Linked DNA regions of Lonchura striata. The protein of the gene in region 1 binds, or shares a complex with, the protein of each later gene. Links are inferred from orthologs where the notes say so. Each region holds a gene or a part of one and is shown in the gene's direction. Other genes may lie near its edges.

Region 1 (7,579 bases):
ACTAACTTTAGTCAGGGGTCTTTGCCCAGGGGGAAGGGAATGGAAGTTTCTTTTCAAGAGACTCTGTTCCCCGGGCAAGGCCTGACGAGCTTGACATCTCAATGGACTGGGACCTGCCAGAGGATGCTCAAGAAAGGAGTGACCTTCTGCATCCAAACATCCTTAATGGTGTGTCAGAGACATTTGGTCTGAGAAAAGATCAATAAGAGAATGAAGAATGACAACCTAATGAGCGCTGAAGGCAAAGGGATCAATAACCAATAGGAAACCAGATACAAAGAACTGTGTAACTTGTGGCCAATGAACGTTGAACCAGTTAATTTTTCTGGGTTTTGACTGTGTAAGTATGTGAAAAATCTAGTAAAGAACCATGTGTGATGGAATAGTTTTCTCTGCACAACACAGGCAATGTGTGGATGAAATTATCTCTGTTGCACATTCTGGCCAGAGCAACATCCTGGCCAGAATAAAGTAATGCCTTAATTCTCTTAAACTAGAAATGTTGTTGGACAGTTTTTGTTTTTCCTGCAGTTTTGGTCACAGCAGGACAGTGCCTTCATGTCTTTCCATATCCCCTGTCATGGTTTGACACTGGCACATTGCCAGCGCCCCCATGAAAATACAACCCCCAAATGATTTGCTGTGAGATACGATCAGGAACAGAGCAGACCAGGCCCAAGCTTAATAACAAAGGAGAAACTTCATTAAACTATTACTACTATAAAAGGAAAAAGAAAGAAAAAAACTAAATTTAAAAAAAAATGAAAACCTTCCAAAAACATTCCTCCTCCCTCCCCCAATTCCAACCAACCACAGTGAGACACAACTTGGACCCCCAGTCAGGTTCCCACCCTTCCGATAATCAATACTCAGTCCACCGAGGGACAGAGGAGTCTCTCCTGTGCCATAGACGCCCCCCAAGAAACACAACTGCTACTTCTTGTGTTTCCATGTCACACATGGCACCGCCCGGTGAAAAAAATTGCCACGGTGACAACTCCGTTCCATGCACAGCACCCTCACCACCGTACATGGATGGACAGACTGCTCATAGGGTAGGGTTTTCTTTTCAAGGATGCTTTGCCAAGTACCAAAGAAAAACAACAGTTCAGTTTCTCATTGTTGGGACCACAGTCCCCCCCATTTTCTTTCTCCCCTGGGGCCGAGGGTCTCAAGAACAGAGATCATCTTCTTTCTGAAGACAGAGGGCATCACCACACCCTCCTCAACTCTTCTCTGTTCACTCCACTCCAGTGTTGGTAGTCACTGAAACAAGTCTCTTGGTTCACCAGACATCCCCCTAAAATACAGTCTCTCTTGGAGAAGACAATTGGTTCAGTCTATGGTTAACAAGAAAAAGTCCAGCCAAAAGCCACTCCATCATCTCCTCCCACCTAGAATTTCTCCTAACATCTTGGGTCCCAGACTGTCTCGCTTCTTCTCTTTCAAATCAAGGAGGAGTAATATTTCACAAAGCTTCATTTCTCAAGGAAGGGTTAAAAGTCTCAGATTCCCCAGACACCTGGCTCTCTGCCCAGATCTCCAGCTCCCATGGCTGGGCACCTTCCTTCGACCCCCAGCTCTTCTCCTTCCCCGCGGTATACTGCTGACTGACGCCGTCTCTGTCTCTTTCTCTCTCTCTCCAGAGAGACTCTGGGGGGAACGCAGACATCCCAGATTTTCCTCCACCCTTCCATCTGAAGGGGGCCCGCCCGTTTCCAGTCCCTCCATCCTTCGGCCTTACCTAAGTCAGGCTACAGGACTTCCTCTCCCCCACCCAGACACCTGGCTGGGCAGGGGAGAGTCCTGCACTGCACTCTGACCGGAACAAAAAAAAGCAAGTTCTCTTGGGAATTCTTCTTTTAACTATTTTGTGTCCTCATAGGCATGTCCAGCCTTCAATTGGCAGTCCAAATGCCAATATCCAACCCCAATCACTGACTGGCTTGACCCTCTTCCTTTCGTAAAAATTCCATTCTGTGTCAAACCACAACATCCCCCCGCATCACTTGAGTGTCCTTTTTTCCCCAGATGGATTTTATGGACAGCTGCAACCCTCAACTGACACCCACTGGCCACAGGGAGGCACTAGGAGCGACTGGGACCATGCTGGGAGCAGCGGGGATCATAACTGGGCTAACTAGGAACATACAGGGAACAAATGCTGGAGAGTGACAGTGAGAAAGGGGATTCATTCTGGAGGTAAATAGGAGCAATTGGGACCACACTGGGATCATACTATTATCATAGTGGGAGTGACAAGGATCATACAGGGAATGACCGGTACCATACTGAAGGTGACTGGGAGCCACTGAGACCAGGGCCAGAAGGATCCAGCAAACTTCAGGCCTTGTTGTTGGAACATCCCTGGAACAGATTCCCTGAGGGAACAAATGGCACAGACATGAAACAGGCATTGGGAACAGCCAGGGCTTGGGAAAGGCAGGTATTGCCTAACTCACCTGATCTCCTGCTATGCCCAGGTGGCCCCAGTGGGTGTTGGACATGTGTGGGTGTGTCTGCCTGAAGCTCAGCAAAGCCTTTGGCACTGCCTCCATCTCCCTGCGTCCCCTGGAACACCTGAAGGTCACAGCTGAGACAGGTGCCTCTCGCTGGGAACACCTGGCTGGTGGCCAAGGAGGGGTGGGAATGGGGCCCAGCCAGCTGGGGCTGGGCACTGCTGGGGTTCCTTAGGGCTCAGTGCTGGGGCTGGTCCTGTTCAACACTGGCCCGGGTGGACAACTAGGGGCAACTGGGAGGCTTGATGGGGTCAAATGAGGAGTGTGGTGGCTCACTGGGAAAACTCTGGGTAAACTGGGAGGTCTTGCAATACCCTCAAGAGACCCCAAAGCCCACCTGGGCCACCATGGGTTCACTAATGCCCCAATCTGCTTCTCCCAATGGGTTTCATGAACAGTTGTAATCCTTGACTGACCCCCACTGGGTACTGGGAGGCACAGGAAGCTACTGGGACCATGTTGGGAGCCAACTGAAAATACACTGGGAGCAAATGGAAGATGCCGGAATCATGCTGGGGGTACTGGGACCAGAACTGGGGCAACTAGGATCATACAGGAGGGGACGGCTTGGGACCATGCTGGGTTCATACTGGGAGTGACTGGAACCCCACTGGAGGCAACCAGGATCATACTGGGAGTAACTGGGATCATAGTGGGATCATTCTAGTATGGACATAAATTGACTGGGACCATTGGGGGTGTGACAGGGATCATACTGGGAGTAGTTGTTGTGATTTTATGATTGGCTTTTTGCAAATGTTCCAATGAATATTATATGTGTAATGTTAGAAAGTTATGCTGTATTAGTTCTCTTAAGTAGTGCGTTAAAGGTAGTTTTAGGTTACAACATAATGTTAAAATAGAAACTCTGAGGTGTAGGATTTTTTTACTAGCTCAAGCAGGAGATGAGATAATCAAGAAACTCTTCGCACAGAGATGACAGTGACTTGGGGCCCATAAAGAGTTACTGTCTCCTTGTCAGAAAAGACATTCTTCCTCCTTCTCTCCATCTTTATGGAACCAGCAGGATTAAGGGGAAGAAGCTGACAAAACCCAGAAAAGTTCTTAATTTGCAAGGAATTTATGCATCATGTATGAGATATATGAATATGCAACAGGTTATGCTTTTACAGTTATTCCTTTGTTCACAAGGCATGCTTTTTGTGACTTAGTGTCCAAGAACATCCGGACACATCCATAATTCTTTGCTTTTTATTGTCTTGTAATTGTCCTAACTCTAAATTTTATTACACTAATTGTATTACTATATTTGTAATAATTTTATTATTATTAAACTTTTAAAATTTTAAAAACCAAGTGATTGGCGTTTTTCACAGTTGTGATCATACTGGACTCACACTGGGAGTGACTGGAAAGCACTAGAATCATATTGCAGGGGACTGCAATCGTACTGGGATTCTTCTGGGAGTAACTGGAGCTACGCAGATGACCGGGAGCCACACTAGGAGTGACGGAGATCACACTGGGACGGTAACAGAGATTACCCTGGGAGCACCGAGGCGTGGGGTGCCCGGGCCGGGGTCATGCAAATTTATGCTAATGACCCCAGCAGCTGCGGCACCATCGAGTCGCGGAGGCCGGCGGCGCAGAGCGGTCGCGCGCCCGATTGACGCGCGGAGGGAAGTGACGTCACGAGCAGCGCCGCGGCGGCGCGAGATTTGAACAGGGCGGCTGCCGCGGGAGGCTCGAGCGGGGCGGCGGCGGCGGCGGGAGGTTGGAATGGGCGGCGGGAGGTTGGAACTGGGCGGCGGGAGGCTGGAACTGGGCGGCGGGAGGTTGGAACTGGGCGGCGGGAGGCTGGAACTGGGCGGCGGGAGGTTGGAACTGGGCGGCTGCGGCGGATCCCGGGCGCAATGTCATTGGCAGGGAGAGGGAGGGGGGCCTTGGGGGGACCCGGGAGTGGCCCCAGACACCTCAGTCCGCCCTGACTCCCCCTTCCCCGGCCGTCAGGTTTCCGCCAGCCCCGCCGGACGCCTGGACTCGCCCTGACCCTGCGGCTGACTCGGCCACGCCATGCCCCGCCCCAAACCCACCCCCCGGCGGCGTGGCGCTCCCCGAGCCCCCCCATCGCCCCGGCCGCGGGCACGCAGTGAGTGAGGGGCAGGGGACGCCCCTTACTGACACCCCCTGTGGACCTCCCACATCGAGCCCCTTTTAGACCCCCCTCCAGAGCACTCCTACGGACTCCCCCATTGTTGTCCTCCGTCCCTAGCCTGTGCAGTAGATACCCCTATATGCTTCCATCACTATAGTCACTCCACACTCCCTCTCCCCTATAGCTCTCTATTGCCTGTCAACCAAGACTCCTAAACAACTGACCAGTATGACCAAGCAAAAGCCATATATTCTTTACATTGCACACACTTTTATAGATTCTACAAACAACTAAGATCACACTTATTGATTGGTGCCTTTGTCTTGTTCCCTCATTCTCTGCCTCCACTTCTCAGCTTCCGTTATTTGTTACCATGCAGGTGTTCTACAGTTCTCTGTTATCTAGTTCTTGTGATCCTGTGGTTTCTCAGCTTCTTCATTCTTATTTTAGCACAGTTTATGCCTTAGTAACCTTATGAATTCCTGAGAAAATTCTGGTAAGAACAGTTACAAGTGGTATGGCTGGTGCACACTGAGGCCCAAGTTGTTCAGATACATTGCTACAACCCCCTACACCCTGTTCCTCAAAACCCCTCATACTCCCTGTCCCCTATAATTCCCCTATATTGGCCATCACTGTAGCTCTCTACAGATCCCTCATACCTGCAATGTCCCCCCAGACCTTACAGATCCCTTATAACCTCCACAGCTTTCCCCTGTTCCCTAGGCCCCTATAGGCCCCCGCATAGAGACCCCTGTGTTCTGCCAGGCCCTATGGATCTCTTATACCCCCCCATGTTCCTTCAGAGCCCTCCATCTGTGCTCCCCAGGCCAAACAGATCTGCTAAAGCCCTCACAGACCCCTATCCAATGCCCCTGCAGGACTCCGCCCAGGTCAGCGGGCATTGCAGGAGATCCGCAGGTACCAGAGCAGCACCCGCCTGCTGCTGCGCCCCGGCCCCTTCGCCCGCCTGGTAAGGACCCCCCACATCCCAAAATGAACACTCCTGCCGTAAAATCCCCAGACAATGCAATTTCCCCCACGGAACCTTCCCAGTGCCCCCCATGGACTCCCAAACTCCCCTGGGACTGCACAGATCATCCCAGATACCCATAGAATCTACTTTAGGACCCCCAAACCCCTCCAGGCCACCCCCAATTTCACCTAGAACCGCCAACATTGTCTGGTATCTTCCAAACCACTCTGGATCCCCTCTTCTGGGATGCCGAAATCCATCCCAGATCAACACTTTCAGACCCTGCAACCTCCCCCAGAGCCTTTAAATCCACTCTGGGACCCTTCAGCTCTCCACAGGATTCTCCCAAATACCCACTGGGACTCTTCAAACAATCCACTGGACCCCTTAAAATCCAACCCCAAATCCACCCTAGGCCCCCTGAAATCCAGCCTGGAACCCTCCAACCTGCCCTTGACCCCCTCCCTAAAACCCATTGGGACCCTGCAACCCCGTACAGACCAACCAAGTTACCCCCCCCAGAACCCCAGATCACCCCCAGGACTCCTTAGGACCACCCTCTTTCCCCAGGGCCCCCACTCAACCCTGTTCCAGCCCTCCCCATGTCCTTGTCCTCCCCGTCCTCATGACATAGTGGGCCTGTCCTCCCCCAACATCCTTGCATATCCCCCAATATCCTTCTGTGGTTCCTGACATTTTTGTGACCTGCCACCTTCATGGATTGAGTGCTCCCTGTGCCCCTCCCACCGTGCTGGCACTGTCCCTTCTGTCCGATCAGGGTGTCTCCAGGGGAGTGTCCACATGTTCCCATGGCTGAGGGTGTTCCCAAGATGTTCCTAGAGTGGTGCTTCCCCCCTGCCTCCCACCTGGGATCTCTGCAGGGTGTCCCTATCATGGTGTTCCCACATCCCCACTCCCCAGTGTATCCTCAGGGGTTCCTGTCCCCTGTGTTCCTGTACCTGGAGTGTCCCCAAAGTGTCTCCAGGGTGATAACAAGGGTGTCCCCAGGTCCCTGGGATGTCTCCAGGGCAGCGTCTCCATGTCTCCAGGGTGTCGCCATGGTGGTGGCCCCAGCCTGGGATGTCCCCAATGCCCCCATATTCCATCCATGTTGTCCCAATGTCCCCTCTCTCCCTGTGACCCTGATGCCACCATGTGGCCCCCTCCCCGTGCCCTCTCTGCCGCAGGTGCGGGAGATCTGCCTACTCTTCACCCGCGGGGTGGATTACCGCTGGCAGCGCATGGCCCTGCTGGCGCTGCAGGAGGTAGGGGTTGGAGTGGTGGAGGGGGTTCACAGAGGGGCTGGAGGTGTCCTATGGGTCCTCCTGGGGTATCCAGGGAACTAGGGGTTGGGGAGGGGGCTGAGGGGGATCTCATGGGTGCTGAGAAGGGACATGGGGGATGGGGGGTTCTGTGGCTGCTGCAGGGGGGTGTGTGGGTGCTGGGGGTGTCTCTGGGGGGCTGGGAGGTCCAGGAAGGTCTCTTTTGGTGCTTGGATGAGGCTGAGAGGTTTGTTGGGTATGTGTGGTGGGAGCTGAGGGGGAGTCTAGGAGAATCTCCATTGGCTGGGGGGGGGTCTATGGGTTCTTGGACAGGGTTCCATGGATGTTGAGAGGGTGGGGGTGTTCTCTTATTCCTGAGGTCTGTTGGGGACTGGGGATGGGTCACTGGGTGATGGTGTCCCCGCACACATTTACAGGCACTGGGTGTTTCAGTCCCCCCAGTTACCTGTGGGTGGGTTTGGAGGAACCCTGCCCCCTGGGTGTGTGTTTTGGGGGGGGCATTCTCTGCCTGGGGGAAGAGCTGTGGGGGTTGGAGCTTGCTGGGGGGCTTTGGGGACACCCCCTCACCTTTTAGGACACAGGCGGCAGAGGCCTTCATCGTGCGGATGCTGGAAGACGCGTACCTATGCTCGCTGCACGCCCGCCGAGTCACCCTGTTCCCCAAGGATCTGCAGCTGGTCCGGCG
Region 2 (7,467 bases), on another chromosome or scaffold:
TCTGTGTTAAGTGCAGAATCACCCAAACCATGTCAGCTTTTGGCTACAAAGGGCAACACAGAAGAAGCCCCTGCTGGTACCTGGAGAAGGACTGGCACCAGGGCTGGAAGGTGAGAGGTGACGAAGGGACCTCTGCTGTGTCTCTGAGTGCTTTGGTGGCTCTTGGCAGAGCATGGAGAAGCCCTGACCTAATTTGTTCTGACTTCCCAAGCCTTGGCCATGGCACAGCAGAGCTGGCTGAAGGAGCTGGGCAAACGTGGACACGGGGCAGGTTTGGCCAGGGTTGAACCCTGCTGCCGAGGCAGAGCAGAGGAGATGGGAACATCCCCTGTGGTTCCCAGGAAAGCACCTCAGGGCTCCTGCCATGGCCTGGGAAGTTTCAGTGCTCTTTTAATTGCCATCAAAGGCAGCAAACGGGGCAGGAGGTGCCCACCTGGACCCGGGTTAAACGGCACCGAGGGAAGGGCTGTGCTGGCACTGCAGGACCTGCCTTACAAATCACCTGCAACAACATGTGCTGTCCTGGTCACCTCCTCTCAAAAATGATAGTGCAAAATTAATTAGAATTAATTAATCAGAAAAGGGTAATAAGGGTGATTAGGCACCTGGGGAAAAGGAAAAAAAAAATATTCCTGAAGAGCAATCGCAGCACCATGATTGCCTTGGAAGGTGGCGAGTGAGTGGGAGCAGGAGGGAGGGCGTGCAGGGAAACAAATGGGCTGGAGAGAGGGGTCTGGGGGTGTTTTCTGTCTCGTCACACAAGGAATTACTGAGTGACAAGATTGAAACCCGTCAGAGGAAAAGCATTTCCCAGCAGCAGTGACCACGGGGAGGCAGCTGAGCCCAGGAAGGCACGGGCGGCTCTGCGGCGTGGCTGGAGCTGTGGCTGCTGCTGCCACTCTTATTTACAGATTTGGCTTTCCACAAACTGGCCCCAAGGCTGGACCTGCAGAGAGTGGGACTCAACAGGGAGTCCTCAGTGCTGGGACCCTCATCCCCAGCTGGGCTCAGAAACATGGCAAGCTCAGGGACACTCAGTTTAGTTTTCCTTTTAATTTTCAGCCACACTCTGCTACCTTAACGAAATTAATAACAATAATAGTATCAAATCAAAGGAAACATTTGCAAAGAAGACCTGTCCCTGATCTAAGGCAACTGCTGCAGATTTCATTGGAACCTGAGCGGCCAAAGCAGAGCCCCAGTCCCCGGAGGGGATGGAGCACCATTCCATTCCTGCCATCATGAAGGGTTTTGGCAGTAGGGAAGAATGGAGGAGGTGGATGGGGCTTAATGGAAAGAGTCTTCAGGAGTCCCAGCGCAGCTCAGTGAAATAAAAGTGCCTCTTGTTGGGGAAGCAGAGACAGCAAATACTGCAGGCACCATGGAAGACATGTGGCATGGATGGGATGCAGGTGCCCATTGCCTGCTTGAAAACACAGGTGACAACTGGAGCGATGCAACGGCTGCTGGCAGCTTTGGCGAGGGGCAAACTGCTGGGTTTGGGTCATTCAGGTGCCCGTGCATGGGGACACTCACCCCCCTGCACCTCCCAAACACCCCTTCTACCTGTGAGCAGCAAGGCGCCACCACCTAGCGCTCAGTGTCCCCTCCCTGGTGACAAAGAGCCTTGTTTCTTTAAAATATAAAAAGCAAACTGCAAAAAGCAGTGCTTTTTGTGCAGAGATGCTCTTACTGTGTCCCCTGCTCTGCAGTTGACTTAACACATGCTCCTGGTGTCAGCACTGAGCCCCCAGCTCAGGTCACTGCTGTCCCCAGCACACTCGGGTCCTTTCACAGGGACTCAGGGCACCTGGGAGCCCGAAAGCTGTCCCAGGCTCTGTTTGCTTGCCCAAAGGTGGCGACTCCATTTCTGCATATGTCCCATGGAAGGATGGCAAGGGGCTCTATCCCTGAGGCCATGTCCTGGTTGTGCCATGGATTTTTGGATGGCCATGGGCTGAGCAGCTCTGTTTTGGGGACAGCAAGAGTTGTTTGAGCCATTAGGACATTTTGAGAGAGGTAGGTGCTGGGAATGGGCCCTGGTCCCCCTGCGCCCATGCAGGACTGACCCTCTGGTCGCTGCCCTCTGACAGGTTTGGGTGACTGCAAGGAGGTTTTGTCCCTGCAGGTTTTGTGAAACTCGGTTTCTGGGGAAGATGAGGGAAGGACTCAGGTCATACCAGAGAGCAGAGAACCCACACCAGCCTCCATTCCCCGCAGACACGACTGTGCCAAGGCAGCGTTGTCACTGTCACTGTCACTGTCACTGTCCCCACAGCAGTCCCCTTCCTTGGGCCGTGGGCACCCCCAGGTCCCGTTAACCCCGTCCTGCTGGGGGTCCGAGACCCCCGGAGGGGAGGGGACACGGCCACGGCCGTGCGGAGCCGCCGGGGCTCGGCAGCGCTGGCACGGGAGGGCGCGGGGAGCCGGGACCCGCGGGTCGGTGGGACCGGAGCCGGCAACGGGCACAGGGGGCACCGCTACGGGAAGGGATGCGAGGGGCCGGTGCTGGGGCTGTCAGTCGGTACCGGGGGTGTCGGTACCAGCTGTCTCGGTGCCGGCTCTGTCGGTACCGGTGTGTCAGTACCGGGGTGTCGGTACCGGGGTGTCGGTACCGCAGTGTCAGTGCCGGTGTGCCGGTACCGGTGTGTCCGTACCACGGTGCCGGTGCCGGGGTGTCGGGCTCTGTTGGTACCGGTGTGTCGGTACCAGGGTGCTGGTACCGGGGTGTTGGGCTCTGTCGGTACCGGGGTGTCGGTACCGGGTGTCGGTGCTGGTGTGTCATTACCGGGGTGTCGGTACCGGGGTGTCGGTACCACAGTGTCGCTGCCGGTGTGTCGGTACCGGTGTGTCGGTACCACGGTGCCGGTACCGGTGTGTCGGTGCCGGGGTGTCGGGCTCTGTCGGTACCGGTGTGTCGGTACCACGGTGCCGGTACCGGTGTGTCGGTGCCGGGGTGTCGGGCTCTGTCGGTACCGGTGTGTCGGTACCGGGGTGCCGGTACCGCGGTGCCGGTACCGGGGTGTCGGGCTCTGTCGGTACCGCGGTGCCGGTACCGGGGTGTCGGGCTCTGTCGGTACCGGTGTGTCGGTACCGGGGTGTCGGGCTCTGTCGGTACCGCGGTGCCGGTACCGGGGTGTCGGGCTCTGTCGGTACCGGTGTGTCGGTACCGCGGTGCCGGTACCGGGTGTCGGGCTCTGTCGGTACCGCGGTGCCGGGGTGTCGGGCTCTGTCGGTACCGCGGTGCCGGTGCCGGGGTGTCGGGCTCTGTCGGTACCGGTGTGTCGGTGCCGGGGTGTCGGGCTCTGTCGGTACCGGTGTGTCGGTACCGCGGTGCCGGTGCCGGGCTGTCGGGCTCTGTCGGTACCGCGGTGCCGGTACCGGGGTGTCGGGCTCTGTCGGTACCGCGGTGTCGGTACCGGGGTGTCGGGCTCTGTCGGTACCGGGGTGTCGGGCTCTGTCGGTACCGGTGTGCCGGTACCGGTGTGTCGGTACCGCGGTGCCGGTACCGGGTGTCGGGCTCTGTCGGTACCGGTGTGTCGGTACCGGGGTGTCGGGCTCTGTCGGTACCGCGGTGCCGGTACCGGGTGTCGGGCTCTGTCCCGCTCCCCCTCAGGACGCGCCGAAGTTCCCGCGGCGCAGCGGCGGGACAACAGCGCCCCCTGGCGGCCGGGACGGGGCACGGCGGGAGGGGACGGGACGGGACCGGGACAAGGACCGGGACAAGGACCGGGACAAGGACAACGGCGGGACAGGATCGGGGCTGGAGCAGGAGCCGGGACGCGGACACCCCCGCGGCTTCTTGTTCTGGCGACGCCGGGTCCCGTCACCCCGGTGCCAGCCGGCCGGGCTCCTGGGGTATCCTGCCCCTCGAGAACCGCGCGGTACCTGCGGGCTCCCCTGGGGCTGCCCGGTCCGCCCCAGTCCTTGCACCCCTGTTCCAGTCTGTCCCAATCCATCCCAGTCCGTCCCAGCCTATTCAAATCCATCCCAGTCCATCCCAGTCCGTCCCAATCCATCCCAGTCCGTCCCAGCCTATTCAAATCCATCCCAGTCCATCCCAGTCCGTCCCAATCCATCCCAGTCCGTCTTGGTCCGTCCCAGTCCCTCCCAATCCATCCCAGTCCATTCCCAGTCCGTCCCAGTCCGTCCCGGTCCATCCCAGCCCATCCCAATCCATCCCAGCCCATCCCAGTCCATTCCAGCCCATCCCAATCTATCCCAGTCCGTCCCAGTCCATCCCAGTCCGTCCCAGTTCATCCCAGTCCGTCCCAATCCACCCCAGTCCGTCCCAATCCACCCCAGTCCATCCCAGTCCGTCCCACCGCTGACCACCCCGGTCCCCGGCCCGGAGCGCCCCCGCGCGGGCAGCAGTGTTAGAGCAGGGCAGGGCCGGTTCGTGACGTCACGGTGACGTCACCGCCACGCCGCCGCCTGGTTGGTCCCCGCGGCCGCCGGTCCCGTGGGGGCGCAGCGCGCGGCCGCCGCCGGAGGTAACGGGGGGGGCCGGGGGTCGCGGCCGGGCCCGGGGCAGCGGCGGGAGCGGCGGCACCCCGGGCACCCCGGGCACCCCCGGGCAGCACCGGCGGCCCCGGGCACCCCGGGCACCCCCGGGCAGCACCGGCGGCCCCGGGCAGCACCGGCACGCCTCTCCACGGGCCGCCGCCGCAGAGGGCGGCCGGCGGAGCTGCCCGGGCCGGGGCCGGGGTAGGGCTGCCCCCGTGGGCGGGAGGCGAAGGGGCCGGGTCGGGCCGTGCAGCGGGGCCGCCCCCTCGCCCCGCACCGGCTGCGGTAACACCCCCGGGCCCGGGTGGGACCCCCGAGCCCCCGCGGCGGCACCGCCTCAGCCCCTCGGCCTGCGGAGCCCCCCGAGAGCGGCCCCGGGCTCGGGGCCCCGCGCTGCGCTGACCCCTCCGCGCCGTGACCTTCCCCCGCGGCCGCGGCAGCCCCGGCCTGCGCTGCCCGGCTGCCGCGGGCACCGGCCGCGTGTCGCGGCTCCTGCGGCAGCACGAACGCTCGGGTTCGGGTTTAGGTTCGGGGCACTGCGGCTGGGTGCTCTCTGCGTCTGCTGGCAGCCTGTGGCACCCTGAGAATGAGTCCCCAGGGACTCACCGAGCCAAAGCCAGGCCAAGGAATGGGGTCACTGCCGGGAGGGTGAGCCTGGGTCCCAGCCCGTGAAATCGGACAGGAGCACTGCTCAAATTGGAGCACAGACAGGGGCGCTGGAAGAGAACCCTCCATGCACTGGCTACACTCATGGCTCTGCCTCTGAGCTAAGGGGCAGCAGCAGCTCCTGTCCCCCAGCCTGCTGGGAGTGTGTCTGTGGGGCTGGGCTGTCTCTTACCTGTGGTTTCCTGGGGCCATGGTCAGACTTACAGGACTAGAAGGGTGACTGGGCACTTAAATCCAATCTTCTCTGCTCCTAGATCACAGTGTAGACTGGCTCCTGGCACCACTGAGCCAAACTGGATTTCCACCGGTGACCTGTAAGTTGAGATGCCATGTCCCCCTTTCCTATCCCTAGGCTGTTCGAGGCCACGTGGGGCCACCAAACCTGTCTAAGCTGCCATAGAAAAGGTTTTGTGTCTAATAGGGTATTTGCCAGCAAATTCAAGCCACAAACTCTATATATTTCTTTATTTGTAAAGGTGTTTGAAGTCCTTGAATTTACCCTTTGGCCACCTTAAATCTAGTTTCTAATCCCCAGCGCAGTTAATCAAATCCATAGTGGTTTGAATTATGAGATGCCTGGGGGGGATTTATAGCCTGTATTGCTGATTATACCTTGACTTTATTATATTGCAAATATCTAACTTATGGTCACGGCTGAGATTTACAATCCTCAGGTAGGTGCTCAGGATAACTTTTAGCAACTCGAGATGTAATTGGAGGTGACTGATGGGGTTGTCGCCACACATAAACCTGGAATCTGTACAATGTTAAGGCAGGGAAAGGAGAGGCAGAATAGGTGAAAAGGGTGGGTCAGCCTTAAAATATAATTGTATAATTACGTGTATTGCTGAGCAAGGCTCTGCCATGGCTGTTCTGGCTGAGGCATCTGCCCAGGGAGTGGTTTTGGGCTTCTTGGTCTCCAGAAAATACCAGGATTTAGATCTTTGTTCCTTCTTGCTCTCAGCTGAAGGTTTTTGTAGTTTGCAGTAGCCCTGGGGAGGGGGAAGGGGTGATAAAGGTGATAAAGGTGTGGGGTACTGGCAGAGCTGACTCATTCCTGGCTGGTTTGGGGTTCTCCCACCCCAGGGGAGCAGCGAGTCCTGTGCGGGCACGTGCCCTTGGCCAGCATGACCAGCGAGGTGGTGGAGAACGAGTTTGAGTTTTACTCCAAGGCAGAGAAGTACTGGAAGGATGTGCCCGCCACGGTGGATGGCATGCTGGGGGGCTACGGCCACATCTCCAGCATCGACATCAACAGCTCCAGGAAGTTCCTGCAGAGGTTTCTGCGGGTAGGTGGCACAGTTTGTCGTGCTCATAAAACCCCACCCTACTCCCAGCGTGGAGCTGGGCTCTTCCCTCTGAATTGCTCCATGGGATCCTCTGTGTGGTTGTGCCGTTTCTCCTCTGTGGGATTCACCCCTCACGGTGGTTGTTGCAGGATGGCCCCAACCGGACGGGGACAACCCGTGCTCTGGACTGCGGGGCTGGCATTGGCCGGATCACCAAGCGGCTGCTGCTGCCCCTCTTCAAGACAGTGGACATGGTGGATGTGACAGAGGACTTCCTCACCAAGGCCAAGAGCTACCTGGGAGAGGAGGGCAGGCGAGTGCGCAACTACTTCTGCTGCGGCCTCCAGGACTTCAGCCCTGAGCCAAACTCCTATGATGTCATCTGGATCCAGTGGGTCATCGGTGAGGGTCGCCGCTTGTGGGGTCTTTCCAGCCTGTCCTGTTCCCCTGAGGGGCAGGTACCCTGTGCACTGGGGAGAGCGGCTTGAGGTCTGCCTGGAGGATGAGGATCACAGCAGGGGTGGGGGCCTGGGGCGGGCAGTCGTCCCCCATCCCATGGAGGGGCCCTGTACTTTTCCCCCCAAGCCCTCAGAGGCCAGAGCAGAGATGTGGGTTGGATGGAGTTGAGTAGTGAGACACAAGCTGGACACTCCCAAGCTAAAGCTGTCCCTGCAGACGTCTCAAGTATTTGGCCATTTGGATCTGGAGGGATCCCAAATGCAGCTTCTGTGTTTCCTCCCCTTGGTCAACCCTGCCCTCTAACCCCTGCTCTGCCCCTCCAGGACATCTCACTGACAACCACCTCTCCGACTTCCTGAAGCGCTGCCGTGCCGGCCTGCGGCCCAACGGCATCGTGGTCATCAAGGACAACATGGCTCAGGAGGGGGTGATCATGGACGATGTGGACAGCAGCGTCTGCCGGGACCTGGACGTGGTCCATAAGATCATCCGCAGAGCTGGGCTGCACCTCTTGGCAGAGGAGCGCCAGGAGAACTTCCCTGATGAG
Region 3 (7,857 bases), on another chromosome or scaffold:
GTTCCTGTGATGCCAGGCCATATCAAAAGATTAAAGTTGACGTAAGTATAACTGGAAAGTGGATTTAGGGATGCAAGTGCACACACAAATTATGTTCATTGCTTGTATCAAATGGACATATGTCTGACAGCAGTATTTTCTCTCAAAGTGGTTTCTAGCCATTAATACTTTGGAAAGAAAAAACACATTTGAAAGAAAAAAAGATAATTTATTACTTTTTGTAAAACAAACAGAAAAAAAAGAAAATAAAAAAGAGAAGGTGAATTAACTTCTGTGATGAGGAAAGGAGACTTGCAAAATGCTTCTTTAACTGTTGAATACCAGAATGAGAAAGCTAAAGAAGTCTGGCAGTAATTCTTTGGGGGGAAAGAATGTACCATGGTTCAAGCAGAACAAGACTACTAGGACCTTTTGAAACTGGCTTAAAACTAATGCTAGTATTTAGCAATTTAGCTCTGAAGGAATAATGTATTGCTTGCAGTTTAAGATTTCTGGAAGTCTGTTCAATTATAGTAATTGCTTGAGATTCTACATCACTTTAGCCCTTTTAAGAATGATGACAATTACAAAGGCTTTGCTATGCTGCTTACAGAGAGGAAATTGAGGTGTTTCACCCTGGCAGTTTGGCAGGATGTGAAGGCAGGGCATTAGTTTTGACTGAAGGCCTTTGCAAAATAACAGCCAGATCTCACCCAGTTTAGTCCTGCCTTACACCTGTGGGTTGAACTACTTTAGCTCAAAATCTGTTCCTTACAGCTCCTGTGAAGTGTGTGGTAGTGTTCACAGGCTTTGCTGGAGCAAGTGGATGCACTGCTCAGTACTGTTTTGAAGGCCTGCCAGTAGCTATAAGGGAGAGATGTATGAGTAAGCTACTTCAAACTCCTGGGGAGAGAAGAGCTGCTAAGTTGTAGAGTTGCTACAATGAGAATTTACAGCGTATCTCTAAAAATGTTGCTTATATGTTTTCTCTTACAGCTGTATAAATATTTTTGAATGAGTGGGGTATGTAATGAAGTCAAAGCCATGGTATGAAGCTGCCTTCTTGTGAATATCAGGATTTTTTACTACTATGGCACTTTAATGGGCTGTGTCTGTCAGGAAAATGGAATACTGTTTGCTGAAGCTCAGGTGGAGGAACAGCTTTTGTGTGTAATTCAGAGGTGGTTTATTCTCTGTTTTAATTTGGTCTGTAGTATGCTGGGCTAGTACATATTGCTGGCAGTGAAATTCTTCTGGGTCTGGCCCTGAGTTCCCATTGTCAATCCTCTTGGTACATTTATGAACTGCTCTTAATTTCTTTATAGGATGCAAAAGCTTGTGAAACCATCAGCTGATAAGAAGTATGTGGATTTGACAGTATCATTTGCTCCAGAGACTGATGGAGAGGAAGACTTGCCTGGGCCACCAGTGAGATACTACTTTGTTCAGGAAGACAATTGATGGTAGAGACACAAAAGTCACTCATGGACCATTTGTTCTGAAAGGAGTGTGCTAATTTTTAGCTATTAAAGATGGTACTCTATATTTCTTTTTGGTGAAGCCTTAATTAAATGGTGAAAATCAGTGGCTTTGCACTGAAGACAAACTGGATTTGTTTCTTCTGCTCTTGTATTCTTCAAGCCTGTTTGCTCAAAGGAGGATTGGTCACTCCATGAGATGGAATGTCCAGTACAGTCCTTAGCTTAAAGGCAAGATTTGTTCTGAGGAAAGCAAGAAGAATGGTGAACCTAAGAAATGGTCCCCATGTGCAAATTAGGTAATTTGCATTTTCTTAGGGAAGAGTGCAAAAAATAGGAAAAGCACCATTTTATGATACTCCTGGTGTTCTAAGAACATCTCAAATTCATTTCACATGTTACACCATTCTCAAACAAGAATTTCATTCTTGCCATCTACACATAAGATCCATCTGAACGGCTTAAACTCCCACTCAAAAGCAGAGGAACTGCTTTCTTGTGTGGCTGCTTAGTGGTGCTGTGGTCAGCACAGCTATCTTGTGTCAGTCTCAACATGGAGATGTAGGGAGGGGGTGTGAATTGTCAAAACACCCTGAAGTCCAGAGAGCTGGAATTTTTGATTATCTGCACTAAGACTGTTCTTTGTGGAATACTGCAGTATGGGGAAAGTGAAAGCCTATTGGAGAGCCAAATTAGCACTTTCAACAATAAAACTTGGTCTTCAACAAAGAGAAAATGTGGTTGAGCCTTTCTGCCCTCACCAAATTAAAATCACTGTAGCACTTGATGACGTTTAAGGCAGAAAAAAGACAAATGGATGTTTGTCAAAGCAAACTTACCTCAGCTGTTCCTTTTGGTACTATTTCCCTATAGCAAATTGTTGTGCTGTATACCTGTCCTCAGAACAAGTCTGAGCTGCACTGAACCGTGAGGTCTTTACCCTCACTGGTTAGTTATTGGGATGTGTAATTATAAAATTTCTGCTTAATTGGAAATCATTATGGACTAGTTTTGCTTCTGTGGTGAGGCAGAGGTGTGTTACAAAAACATAATCATTTAAGTCATTTAAGCACTGAGTACTTGAGGTTGTAGTTCTTTTTTTCTCCCCATCACAGTAGAGCAAGGCAAAATTAAAAGAAAAACTTACAAACTGAAATACCCTCTCATATGTTTCAGCTTTAGAGATTGTTATTTAACATTATATCCTGCAGCTGTTGCAAAAGCTATTAACAGCTTAGCTGTTTATCCTCAATCATAGTTTATTAAGCTTTAGGGATGTCTTCACATTTAATGTAATGATGTCACTAATTAGCGCTAAGGATCACATAAAGGTTTAGGTCAACAAGAAAAACTGTCACCTCTCACAGCTGGAGGCTGGGAAACAAATGAAACTTTGAGTAAGTATATTCTCTTACGTTAGTGTGGTGTTAATGTCATGCTTATGCTTTTGAAATAAGCAGCATTTAAAAATAGTAAAGTCTTAGTACTGTTCTAGAATGCCATATAACTGTCCTCAGGGTTTAAAGTAAACTGTCAGATATAATTAATGCAATGGCTTTTACTAATCACAACATGTACACCTTTGAGAGCCTTGTAAAAAGTCCAGGTCAAGGCTGGCAGGGATCACAGCCGGAAATTGCAGATATGGCTGTATCTTTATGCTGCTCTTATTGTGTGTGTCATGGATGGATGGATGCTCTGTGGATAGGTTCTGCTTAGTTAAAAAGTTGATTATGGAAAAAGTAAAAATTCACAATGGCTCTAGATATTTATTAGCACACCTTTAAAATTTTTGGATGTAAATTAATCTAGGTAAAATCTCAGAACTAGTAACTTCAAGAGGACTTTCTGTAGAAGAACTCAGCATGTCAAGTGGCTCATTAAACCTGTTATTCTTGCTTTAAACCTTTTTGAATTGCTGATATGGAGAGTGAAGGTATTTATATGGAAGATTGTGGAGTATACTGATTCAGTGTGAATTTGTGTTTGATAGAGCCCGTTTCTCAATCTGCTCCTGCTTTTTATCAAAAATCTCTGCAGGTGCCCAGCACGATCACACTAAAAAGGCCCTGGGCAAGCGAATGTTGGGTTGCCAATCTTCAAATCTTCAATGTTGTCAGTGTTACCACACTAGAGGCTTGTAGTATTACCTAGAACCTGAGAACTGCTTTATTTATTTATTTAGTTAGTTTAGGTTTTTTTTTTTGTTTTTTTTGTTTTTTTTTTTTTTCTTTTTTTTTTCTTTTGTGGCAGTGAAAACTTGTATTAGTCTAGGACTGTTTGATGCACAATTCCAGTGGAGCAGCTGAAGCTTGCTGTCTTCCTGCAACAATGAAGAACTGTCTTTCCACAGAGCACTTCAAAAAGCTTTCTTTCAGAATGTTATTCTTTGAGAGAGCAGTTGATTTGCAGGAATTAAGTTTTATATCAGTAATTCAGCTCCTCACTCAAATGCCTTCTTGAAGTTTGCTCATATGTACACCAGCTTTCTCTAAATTTCTATCACTGTTAATAGATAAAGTTAATTAATTTGTGCATGCCCGGTTGCTGCTGTGCGAGACCGGCTCCGGGCGGGCGCCGGCGGGAGGCTCTGCGAGGCTCAGTTCCAGCGCGGGCACACGAAATGGCGGCACGGGCCTCGGGTGCAGACACGTGTTCCCGAGACCGCGCGCACCGGCCCGGCGCCGGTTACACCCCGTGCCGGGGCGGGGAACCTGAGCCGCGGCCAATGGGACGGCAGGCAGGGGACAGGGGCAGGGAAACCCCGGGGACAGCGAGGGGAGCGGCGGGGGGCAGGGACCGACCGCGTGGCGAAGGGAAAGGCGGGAGGTGTGATAAGGGAACGCGCGGGAAGGGGGGAGGGGGGGGAAGAAAAAATTGCAAACCCCGCACCCGGTATTAAGCAGCCAGATCAACTGTTCTCTGATTAGTCATCATGTTTCTTTAATGTTAGGAGTAGTGAGGATTCTGTGTGAGGGTCTCAATACTGTTACCAAGACTGCTGGATCAGATGGATTTAAGCTTTTGTTAGCTATACCACAAGTAAAAAGAAAAAAATGCAACGCGCCGTGGTGACAAGGAATGCTTTGTAGCGTTTGGAAACCCGAGGATTTTGAGCGTTTCCCACCGGCGAAGTAAAAGAACGGGAAGCATCGCCCGCCCGTCCCCTCGGAGAAAGGCGGCCAGGAGGTTGGGGGGGGGCGGGGCTACGGGCGCAGCATCTGCTTGTGCGCAGGCGCGACAACCGCGCGCGCCTAAATCACCTTCCCTGCTTGGCGCGCGGCGGCTGCCGACCAATGGGACGGGGCCGCGGAGGCGTGGCCGGGATGCCGCCGGCCGTGCGCGCGCGCGCCTGCCCGGCGGGAAGGGTGCGCGAGGTTCGAAGGCGGCGCGGGGAGCGCGCTCCGGCCCCGGTCTGGTATGGCGCAGGCTTTGGTGAGAGAGGGCGGGAGCGGCCGCTCTGTCTGTCCGTCAGTCTGCCTCTCTGTGTCTGCGTCTGTCTGCTTGTGTCTCTGTGTCTGTCTGTCTGGTTTGTTGTGAGCGGCGGCCGAGCTCGGCAGTAGCGCGGAGGCGCGGCGCTCGGCTCGCTCCTGAGGGGAGGGGCAGGGCGGGTCTTCCCCCTGAGGAGAGCGAGGCTCGAGCTGGCGGCCCGCGCTCGCTCCGGATCCGGGCGGTTGGCACAGGCATGCTGGCTGCTCCGTCGGGAGCCCCGCTGCCCTCAGCGCACCCGTGTCCGTGCCAGACCCCGTTCCTCCCGGGCTGCCTCTGGAGAGACGACTGCCGCGGGACGGCGAGCGCATCAACAGCAGGACACTTGTGCCGTCACCCTAGAATCGCTTAAGTTTTAAAATTCTTCATGTGTAGCGCGACACGAACACAGTAATAAATGAACTGTTAAAGGCTCTTTCAGGCCCTTGACAGGAATATTATATTTCTTTAGTGAGCAAGGTCATTTGCTCGCTCTGCTGCGAAGGGAAGGGGGTTTACGTTTATGCTCGAGTGCTGGGTTGACTGCGGAGTGTGCTTCTGTATAGTTTCTGAAGTGGTGTCTTTTGGTCAGTTGTTTTCCCTGTCACCTGTTTCCTTCTGCCACTTTAAACCGATGTTGAAAAATTGCAGTGAAATCAATCCATATAGAGTTTGATTATTTTTGATACCAGGAGTAATATCTAACGGGGAATTACAGTGAAGTGCCAAGTACTGTCAGTATGGCAAACTTCAGGAAAACGTGCCAAATTATTAGATAATTGCATTACTCCACGTTGTATATACTCTAAATTTACACGAATCAGGAAGAGGTTATAGTTGTTTTTCGGCTAAACATTTACATTTTTTAAGGTATTTTTGTGACACATTTGTGAAGAACTACACTCTGCTTTGCTGTTGAATTTTTCTTGCCCTTTATTCCTATTTTATTCTCTACAACCATTGCTGGTTCCCAGGTTAGTGGCTTTATTTGATTATACAGAGAATGTGTTGCTGCTTGAATTATTACTGCTTTAATTGTGGTAAATGGCGGGAGTCCTGTCTGCTGTTTGAGTTACTGGTTTTATATTTGGGTTTCAAGTGTATGAAGAGGCACTGTGGCATTCTAAGAAAAACAGTGCTGCAATAACTCCCACTCTCCTACTACTTCAAAATGTCTCTAGAATCCTTGAGATCTGCTTATTTATTTTTCAAGTGCTATCATGCTTATTAAAAATGGATTCTTATTTCTTCACAGAATCGTTTAAAAAAAGACTACAGAGCAAGGTTCTGCCATGGAGGAGGGTAATTTGCATTTTAAACAACCTATTCTTAGATTCTGGAAAACTTACCTTGACTTTATCTATGAGCTAAATGTCAAAACTACTTGGTGTACCTTATTAAATTGATCGTATGATGTTTCCCAAATTTCTTGTATTTCTTAATGGTAAGAGGAGCAAGCTCTGTGGGGGCACAAGGCTCCAAGGTTTTTCTTCGCTGAGGCAGCAGATTGTGGTGTAGCTGTACACCTGTGTAGGACCCCTGACTGGGCTGCCTGAGTAGGGAAGCAGTTATCTGTGCAAACGTGTAGCCTTTCAAGGAGTAGAGAAATTAAGCCCAGGCAGAGTTCCAGCATATTTGGACCTTGCTGCTAAATGTTAGGGATGAGTTTGAGGATTTGCAGTACTGTGATGTTCTTTACATGTGTCTCTGAAGACTTTGTTGCTGAAATCAATTTCTGGACATGCATCTCATGAGCTTACCAAATGTATACATTTTGCTGTTTTTAAAGGTATATCATGATCATTATAGGTGTGTTATTTTGGTTTTGATCAACACTGGCTGGTGAATCACTCACTTCTGCCCTTTTCATTTTGTTGGTCTGAAATAATAATCCAACCAGCTGAGCTGCTCACTTGCTTATGGATACGATACCTCAGGCTTGGTTCTAGGTCTGCTGCAACTGCACCACTGTGCAGGCAACATAGCTCCAGATATGATTAAAAAAAAAAATAAAAAATTACTTAAGTGAGGCTCTAGTCAGCCTAAAGCTCATTTACCTCAGGGCTGTTGCAGTAGTTGCGTGTTTTCTTTAATGTAGAGAGAATTCTTCGTTCTTATTATAATCTGTGGCAGTGAGGCTTTTTTTCCTGGAATTCCTGCTTTGACAAATTTCTTTGCAGATATGTATACATAGAAATTGTAGGTAAAAATATATTAAAATTTGAACTAGAAGAAGTAATAACCTAAAATATTTAGAAGTAAAGCTTTGCTACTTTAGTATTTGGGATAAAAGCATTTAGCATTTTTGATTGAAAATATTTTTCCCTCTTCTTTCTAGAAATAAGATTGATCTACAGCCAGGTCAAAACGTGTTGAAGGTCATACAGGATTGTTTTGAAAGTAAGCTCTTATTTGGTGTTTTGCTTGATTTGCTGCTAAAAGAAAAAATTGTTTTCTTCCTTGTGTTATTTAGTGGTAAGTACATAGAAATAAAAAATAGGGATAAAATGGAAAAAAAAATAGTATTTCTCAGGATTTTTAAGAACAGCCCCTTCTCAGCTTTTTAAAACTGTATCTTAGCTCTCTTATAATCTCTTTCTCAAGTAGCTGATTACTTTCTTGTTTGAATTTACATGATCTTAGTGAGCCTTAGAACTTGTTAAAATAAATAAAACCTGGACAATTCCAAGATTCCCATATTTACTGTTTTTTTTTTCTTCATAGGTTGTAGCAGTGATCTTACAACAAACTCTCCAAATTGCTCAAGCTTTGTTTTGAAAGATGAGAAGAGGACTTCAGAATCAAGACAAAGTGTAAGCTCTGTCAGTGTCATAGTGTAGCACTGGATACAGGTTCATGTGGGTACAAGTTAAATTCTGCAGCATTTAGTTCTGTATGAGCACCTGTAAAAGTATGTAGGCTATAATTTAAC

The links.
Region 2: the proteins of CENPA (region 1) and NTMT1 are in contact, whole or in part, in a crystal structure (PDB 5CVD), measured with the Homo sapiens proteins. The link is inferred for Lonchura striata from reciprocal best matches to the Homo sapiens genes CENPA and NTMT1. Residues at the interface, in NP_001800.1 of Homo sapiens: Gly2, Pro3, Arg4, Arg5, Arg6, Ser7; in NP_001273725.1 of Homo sapiens: Tyr19, Trp20, Met30, Leu31, Gly32, Tyr34, Ile37, Trp136, Asn168, Ile175, Asp177, Asp180, Asp212, Glu213, Ile214, Tyr215.
Region 3: CENPA (region 1) and CENPC share a complex: the UniProt entries of both Homo sapiens proteins name them as parts of the CENPA-NAC complex. The link is inferred for Lonchura striata from reciprocal best matches to the Homo sapiens genes CENPA and CENPC.

Annotation. Positions count from the first base shown.
Region 1 is NC_134623.1:6,098,925-6,106,503, forward strand, and holds the start of CENPA (histone H3-like centromeric protein A), read left to right. Parts: upstream 1-4,553; coding exon 4,554-4,629; intron 4,630-5,516; coding exon 5,517-5,608; intron 5,609-6,798; coding exon 6,799-6,876; intron 6,877-7,468; exon of another isoform or gene 7,469-7,475; coding exon 7,476-7,579. UniProt on the Homo sapiens protein: Histone H3-like nucleosomal protein that is specifically found in centromeric nucleosomes. Replaces conventional H3 in the nucleosome core of centromeric chromatin that serves as an assembly site for the inner kinetochore.
Region 2 is NC_134624.1:3,650,979-3,658,445, forward strand, and holds the start of NTMT1 (N-terminal Xaa-Pro-Lys N-methyltransferase 1), read left to right. Parts: upstream 1-4,439; 5' UTR 4,440-4,493; intron 4,494-4,645; exon of another isoform or gene 4,646-4,707; intron 4,708-4,774; exon of another isoform or gene 4,775-4,791; intron 4,792-5,426; 5' UTR 5,427-5,486; intron 5,487-6,258; 5' UTR 6,259-6,299; coding exon 6,300-6,461; intron 6,462-6,610; coding exon 6,611-6,863; intron 6,864-7,243; coding exon 7,244-7,467. UniProt on the Homo sapiens protein: Distributive alpha-N-methyltransferase that methylates the N-terminus of target proteins containing the N-terminal motif [Ala/Gly/Pro/Ser]-Pro-Lys when the initiator Met is cleaved.
Region 3 is NC_134606.1:44,829,001-44,836,857, reverse strand, and holds the start of CENPC (centromere protein C), read left to right. Parts: upstream 1-4,784; 5' UTR 4,785-4,877; coding exon 4,878-4,892; intron 4,893-6,180; coding exon 6,181-6,227; intron 6,228-7,263; coding exon 7,264-7,325; intron 7,326-7,649; coding exon 7,650-7,738; intron 7,739-7,857. Other genes in the region: UBA6 (ubiquitin-like modifier-activating enzyme 6), read left to right, coding at 1-41, 1,305-1,440. UniProt on the Homo sapiens protein: Component of the CENPA-NAC (nucleosome-associated) complex, a complex that plays a central role in assembly of kinetochore proteins, mitotic progression and chromosome segregation.